Linked DNA regions of Xenopus tropicalis. The protein of the gene in region 1 interacts with the protein of each later gene in a biochemical or structural test. Links are inferred from orthologs where the notes say so. Each region holds a gene or a part of one and is shown on either strand. Other genes may lie near its edges. The genes, in order: cacna1a and cacnb4.

Evidence for each region.
Region 2: the proteins of cacna1a (region 1) and cacnb4 form a complex in vitro, tested with the Homo sapiens proteins (2 studies listed by BioGRID). The link is inferred for Xenopus tropicalis from reciprocal best matches to the Homo sapiens genes CACNA1A and CACNB4.

Annotation. Positions count from the first base shown.
Region 1 is NC_030679.2:140,775,963-140,779,886, reverse strand, and holds the start of cacna1a (voltage-dependent P/Q-type calcium channel subunit alpha-1A), read left to right. Parts: upstream 1-1,209; 5' UTR 1,210-1,217; coding exon 1,218-1,310; intron 1,311-2,776; coding exon 2,777-2,916; intron 2,917-3,924.
Region 2 is NC_030685.2:75,957,020-75,960,843, reverse strand, and holds part of cacnb4 (voltage-dependent L-type calcium channel subunit beta-4), read right to left. Parts: intron 3,583-3,824; coding exon 3,460-3,582; intron 444-3,459; coding exon 313-443; intron 1-312. UniProt on the Homo sapiens protein: The beta subunit of voltage-dependent calcium channels contributes to the function of the calcium channel by increasing peak calcium current, shifting the voltage dependencies of activation and inactivation, modulating G protein inhibition and controlling the alpha-1 subunit membrane targeting.

The DNA.
Region 1 (3,924 bases):
TTTGAATTCTCATTACATGGCAACTCAGAAACCAATGCAAGAATTTACTAATCAGCCCTTATACAATCCTAGCATCAGCTTCTGGGACACGTGAAACCCCATTTTCTGCTTGGTAGTTTGCCACAACCCCAAGTTTAGCTTCTTAACAGCAGCCCAGAGCACACTGAGCATGTCAAGAGTCATTGACACTTCTAACAGAATCCAAGGTGGGGATCTTCTCTGACACGTTTGAGGGCCTGGATCATTACTACTACAGAGATGCTAAAGCTTTAGGCTGGTGCAATAAGTTCAGTATATTATGGCATTCCTAACTATATTCATTTTTACCGTTTAGTGCTCCTTTAAGTATTAGAAAATAGGAATTTAATCAAGTGAGTAGGGCACACAACTGTCTTGAAACGTTTGGTCCTATTCTCTGTGTCCTGAACACCACAATAAAATTGGGAACACCCCACTTCAAGGTATTGTTGTTCCTTATGATCTGGATATGTGTACTGATGGCAGAGGACATCAACGTTAATGCCTTTACCCCCTTACCATTGCTTTCTATCAGCTCCTCATTAAAGGGGAACTACACCCAAGCACAACTTAAGCTTTTTGAAAAACATAATTTCAAGCAATTTTGCAATATATGTCATTTAAAACATATGCAGTCTTTTTTATGATTTTAAATATAATAATATGGTTTGGAACAGTCCCCTAAGCCCCGCCCCCTGTTCCTCTGCTGATCTGGCTGACTACTTTGTGACTCAAATAAAATGTAAAAGTAGTTGACTGTCCTCAGCCTGCCTTCAGCCTGCATCCTCCCAATCCCACAATCCCCTGCACACGTGATGTCAATGCATTGTGGGTTATGTAGTTCCTGCAGGCTGTCTGTAAGCTGTGGAGAAGTTGTATCAATGTTTTAGTCCCTCCTCCCCTGCCAGGATTTCAAATGACGCAGAAAGAGAAGAACTGGATTTCAGCATAAAAAAATTGTATTTACTCATATTTACTGAAGGAACAGATTACAGTGATAGGTTTATAAGGGGTTTATGTGTTGTGCAGGGATTTTCAACACATTTTGGTTCAGAAGCCAGACTTTAAGATAGTGTAGCACCCAGTATTGTGTTGGTGATGGAGCACATCAAAAATTTACTTCCAATTCCATGATTTAGAGCATTTTATTGAAGTGTTGCATTCCTTAACTACTCTGCCATCTCACTCCTTTTGAATATATGATTTTAGCAACTATCATAGCTAACTGCATCGTACTGGCTATGGAGCAACACTTACCCGTGGGGGACAAGACACCAATGTCGGAACGTCTGGTAAGAGCCTTGACACAATTAAAAGATGGAAATGATGTTTTTTTTCCCCTCTTTATGATGATCAGTGGTGTAACTATAGAGAAAGAGGGTCTGCTTCCCCTATAGCCACTCTAATTGGTGAAGTTATGTGCCTGCTGCTTTGTATTTGCAGAGGGCATAACTTCGGCACGTACTAGTGATGTGCGGGTCGAGAAAACCTTGAGAAAACCTCGACCTGCACTCCCTAACTCTACCCGACCCCACTTCTCCCTTCTGTTAATATACCTGTGCCCCACCCACCCTGCAATGAAGCCACAAAAGGGGTGGGGCATGTTAGGTGCATGCCTATAAATTCACAAGCCAGAAAATGAAGCTGACAGTGTTAGGTCGCGGGCGGAGAGGGGGAATGGAAGAACTCAACCCAAAAAAGCCAGCGAACCGCAAGTGATGTGCCAAGGTCAGCCTGAACCCACCCGCGGGTATCAGAAAACCTCGACCTGCACCCGACCCTAACCACCCACTTCCAACCCTAACCCTACCTGGCCCCATTTCTCCCTTCTATTTATTAACCTGTGCCCCACCCACCCTGCAATGAAGCCACAAAAGGGGTGGGGCGTGTTAGGTGCACGCCTATAAATTCACAAGCCAGAAAATGAAGTGTTAGGTCGCGGGCGGGGAGGGGGAATGGAAGAACTGAATCTGCCTGTGGGGATCAGGCCGGCCCACACACCACTAGCGTATAGGGGCGGCGCTAAGTGCCTGTGCACGCTGGGCCCTTCTAAAGATTTCCTTGAAGGGGGTCCCGATGCATTACCAGTATGCCACTGATAATGATAATGGAAATTAGAGTGTTGTAAGGGTTAATAAAAAATCCCAGCTGGGTTCAACCTTATAAAAATTGTGTTTTAAGCCTTTGCCAGGCCTACAGGGGAAAGGAAAATGATTCCAATGTCAGTTTTCCCACCTTACCTAGAAACAAAATAGTAGAATATTTCTGCCATCTTTCTTCCCTGCTGTCATTTTCACCAGCTGGACCAGTAAAATATTGGCCAGGTGGCAGCACTTTGGGTAGTGCACTGCTGCCAGCTGAGTGTAGCGTCAGTACTGCTGCGGTGCAACTGCAAACAGCACCGCTTTGTGCTTAAAGCTAATGCACCAATACTATGAGGCCTTGTTTAAAACTTCTTATTGCCAGTAGCGATATACCCCAAATTTACCTTCCATCTTACCTTCAGCTCAGCTCTCCTGTTCATGTAAGTGAGATGCACTATTCAGATACATGCACTCTTGCACCCTCAATCCAGGGGTAGCATAGTGTTCATGTGTAATGCCCTGGAAGACATGCAGGGAATTGTGGAAGCAAATTGTGGGGGGGGGGGGGGGCACAAGGAGCTAGGTAAGAAATATCCAACCCGCAGCCCTTTAGTAGTTTATATGGCAAACTGATAAATCTGTACCAGGCTGTAACCTTTTTTCTTGCTTTGCAGGATGACACTGAACCCTATTTTATTGGAATTTTCTGTTTTGAGACGGGGATTAAAATCATCGCCTTGGGATTTGCCTTTCACAAAGGATCCTATTTGCGGAATGGCTGGAATATCATGGATTTTGTGGTTGTGTTATCAGGGTAAGAAATATGAACTATTTGTGTTTTCTGAGTTAAACATTTTATGAAAACCCATTTTTCAACCTAACCCACATAACAAATAAAGGGTAACTTATGCCCTCAAGTGCAGTGTGCAAGGTGCATTTAAAAGGGATAATGTACCCCCTACTCTAAATGATAAGGATATTAGCAGTCACTGAGGGGTTCTGTGCCCATATAAAGGCACAAGGCTGCAGGCTGAGTTATACAGGGAACTCTGAGTATCACCCATGTATTATAAGGGATAATGTACCCCCTACTGTAAATGATAAGGATATTAGCAGTCACTGAGGGGTTCTGTGCCCATATAAAGGCACAAGGCTGCAGGCTGAGTTATACAGGGAACTCTGAGTATCACTCATGTATTATAAGGGATAATGTACCCCCTACTGTAAATGATAAGGATATTAGCAGTCACTGAGGGGTTCTGTGCCCATATAAAGGCACAAGGCTGCAGGCTGAGTTATACAGGGAACTCTGAGTATCACTCATGTATTATAAGGGATAATGTACCCCCTACTGTAAATGATAAGGATATTAGTAGTCACTGAGGGGTTCTGTGCCCATATAAAGGCACAAGGCTGCAGGCTGAGTTATACAGGGAACTCTGAGTATCACTCATGTATTATAAGGGATAATGTACCCCCTACTGTAAATGATAAGGATATTAGCAGTCACTGAGGGGTTCTGTGACCATATAAAGGCACAAGGCTGCAGGCTGAGTTATACAGGGAACTCTGAGTATCACTCATGTATTATAAGGGATTATGTACCCCCTACTGTAAATGATAAGGATATTAGCAGTCACTGAGGGGTTCTGTGACCATATAAAGGCACAAGGCTGCAGGCTGAGTTATACAGGGAACTCTGAGTATCACTCATGTATTATAAGGGATAATGTACCCCCTACTGTAAATGATAAGGATATTAGCAGTCACTGAGGGGTTCTGTGCCCATATAAAGGCACAAGGCTGCAGGCTGAGTTATACA
Region 2 (3,824 bases), on another chromosome or scaffold:
ATTCAGCTGAATATAAAGAGAGAACATGGGATCTGCCAATTAAAAGGTGCAATGCAGAATGCCAACTGGGATTTATAAATAGGAAAATTATACAAGATACATATTCCTTATATAGGTCACATCTTAGGAACCATTCAGGCTTCTCTATTTATCTACCTGAGCCATTGGATGAACTGGAGATAAGAAATATATCGTGTTTGGAACTAGGAGAAAAGCTTTTTTCACCTTTATAAAGAAAATATGACAAAGCGTTGCCTATTTTCTATCCATAGCAGCCAATTTACTATTGTAGAAATGAATCTTGGGATTTACCCTCCATGTGTTCGTCCTCTCTTCTGCTCCTGCTGAACCCTGATGTAGTCCAGTCTCTGGGGGCTTGGGATGAACCCAATCTCACAGCCTTCCTTCACCAGCCTTCCTATCCACCAGTCGTTGTTGTATTTCTGCAATGAGGGAAGGCGCATTTATAGGTAGTTGCTCTATAATGAGCACTTGGATCCATTCAAGGGATATTAGGGACAAACAGTATCGGGCACATTTACCATTATGGGGAAAAGGAGCAAATGTTTTAAAATTCCAAAACAGAGCACAAAGACCTGTGTCCACCTATGTATGCAGAGTTGGAAGTGCCTGACAGCTCTGCATAAAGTACTGATGCCACATGGGTATGGTTTGTCCCCACCCTACATGGCATTCAGGATGCACAAGGTAGGGGTACCAGAGGGTGCCGCCAAAGGCAGGTATTCAGTACTGGCTTCCCTTGTACCCCAGTAAACTACATTCTCTGCCTGGCAACTGATTTTAATCTGGCACAAGGGACAGAGCATAGTATGTAGCTGCCAATGGAACAGGTGCAAATGCTCCATGTATGGGTCATAAGGGGAGCAATTTTGCCCCCCCATAGTTCCATTGTTTAATGGGCCCTGTAGTGTAATTAGTCTGCAAAATCTTTGGAGGGGTCTGGCACATAGTAACATAGTAAGTTAGGTATATGTTAGGACATATGTTAGGATATGTCCATCACATTCAACCATAATGCCTAATATAACCTGCCTAACTGCCAGTTGATCCAGAGGAAGGCAAAAACCCCTTTTGAAGCCTCTCTAATTTGCCGCAGAGGGCAATCGGACCAGTCCCTGGATCAACTTGTATTAAGAGCTATCTCCCATAACCCTGTATTCCCTCACTTGTACTGAGAGCTATCTCCCCTACCCCTGTATTCCCTCACTTGTACTGAGAGCTATCCCCCCTACCCCTGTATTCCCTCACTTGTACTGAGAGCTATCCCCCATACCCCTGTATTCCCTCACTTGTACTGAGAGCTATCTCCCCTACCCCTGTATTCCCTCACTTGTACTGAGAGCTATCTCCCCTACCCCTGTATTCCCTCACTTGTACTGAGAGCTATCTCCCATACCCCTGTATTCCCTCACTTGTACTGAGAGCTATCCCCCCTACCCCTGTATTCCCTCACTTGTACTGAGAGCTATCCCCCCTACCCCTGTATTCCCTCACTTGTACTGAGAGCTATCCCCCATACCCCTGTATTCCCTCACTTGTACTGAGAGCTATCTCCCCTACCCCTGTATTCCCTCACTTGTACTGAGAGCTATCTCCCCTACCCCTGTATTCCCTCACTTGTACTGAGAGCTATCTCCCATACCCCTGTATTCCCTCACTTGTACTGAGAGCTATCCCCCCTACCCCTGTATTCCCTCACTTGTACTGAGAGCTATCTCCCCTACCCCTGTATTCCCTCACTTGTACTGAGAGCTATCTCCCATACCCCTGTATTCCCTCACTTGTACTGAGAGCTATCTCCCCTACCCCTGTATTCCCTCACTTGTACTGAGAGCTATCTCCCATACCCCTGTATTCCCTCACTTGTACTGAGAGCTATCCCCCCTACCCCTGTATTCCCTCACTTGTACTGAGAGCTATCTCCCCTACCCCTGTATTCCCTCACTTGTACTGAGAGCTATCTCCCATACCCCTGTATTCCCTCACTTGTACTGAGAGCTATCTCCCATACCCCTGTATTCCCTCACTTGTACTGAGAGCTATCTCCCATACCCCTGTATTCCCTCACTTGTACTGAGAGCTATCTCCCCTACCCCTGTATTCCCTCACTTGTACTGAGAGCTATCTCCCCTACCCCTGTATTCCCTCACTTGTACTGAGAGCTATCTCCCCTACCCCTGTATTCCCTCACTTGTACTGAGAGCTATCCCCCCTACCCCTGTATTCCCTCACTTGTACTGAGAGCTATCCCCCTACCCCTGTATTCCCTCACTTGTACTGAGAGCTATCCCCCCTACCCTTGTATTCCCTCACTTGTACTGAGAGCTATCCCCCCTACCCCTGTATTCCCTCACTTGTACTGAGAGCTATCCCCCTACCCCTGTATTCCCTCACTTGTACTGAGAGCTATCCCCCTACCCCTGTATTCCCTCACTTGTACTGAGAGCTATCCCCCCTACCCCTGTATTCCCTCACTTGTACTGAGAGCTATCTCCCATACCCCTGTATTCCCTCACTTGTACTGAGAGCTATCTCCCATACCCCTGTATTCCCTCACTTGTACTGAGAGCTATCCCCCCTACCCCTGTATTCCCTCACTTGTACTGAGAGCTATCTCCCCTACCCCTGTATTAACTCCCTAAATTTACCTAAACTTAGCAACTTACCATAGATGAAGCAGACCCCCCAGTCTATGCCCCCCTATCCTCCCTGTAGGATCTGCCTCCTCTATAGTTATGCCAGTGCAGGCTTTGCCCACAAATTTACATTCCATTGTGAATAATAGACAAACTGATCTTATTGAGCATTTTTCTTTATGCCAGAATGAAGAAGCCAACAATAATAACATTTCAGACTTAATACCCGTATGATATCAGGGTCTAAATCACTGGCCCCAGTTACCAAGTTGCATTTTAGATATGACTTTGCAGAGGGGCAGAACAGAAAGGCAAAAAGCACAGCAGATAAAACATGAAGAACAATGACCAGGGTGCTTAATTTAAAGCTCAGCGTCCCCCCTATTAATTCAAGCGATAGCATTACATGCCAGCGCTTTATGCAATAGTACAGTATCGTTCTATTTCCCTTTGACTGTAACCTATAAATAAACTATAACCAATCGAAACTCCATATATTCCCTTAATTGCTATGTCAGGCTGAACATTATAATAAAGCAAAATAAATAAATTCTAGAAAAGCCGAGTTGTGCAGATGAAAAAAAAGAATGTACCTATGAGGGTGCGGATTTAACCATTCCCTCTCCTGCACAGAAGGATTCAGCAGAACCGAGCATGGTGCCGCCTACTATGGAAATGGTTAATCAGCTAATTCCTCCCAAGCGCTGGCAGCCAGTCAGTTTCCCTTTTAGCTTTAACAAGCTGCGGTCTTGCCGCCGATATTTTATTTGCCAGTGGCCAGAGGCCTTCACCCTATATTTACCTCCTTAATGTGTAAAAAGTCCTTGGCATCGAAAGATATGGCAGTGCCCGGCACGGGGACATCTTCATCCAGTGCTCCGCAGTAGCTCACGTTCGTCCTCACAGCGAATGCCACCGGCTTTGTCTAAAGGCACACAGACCCGCCATAAATACCCAGCAGCTGTCTCCTGTCTGACACCCTATAAACCTTATATGGGACCAGCGGTAATATGGCAAATACTGCTTTATAATGATTAAAGGGGACATAGGCCTTCCCTGAAACTAGTGTTAGCAGATTCTACTGGGAGAACTCTTTTGGCATCTGCAACTAAAGCGGTGGTTCACCTTTAAGTTAACTTCTAGTATATTACAGTATGTCCCATTTCT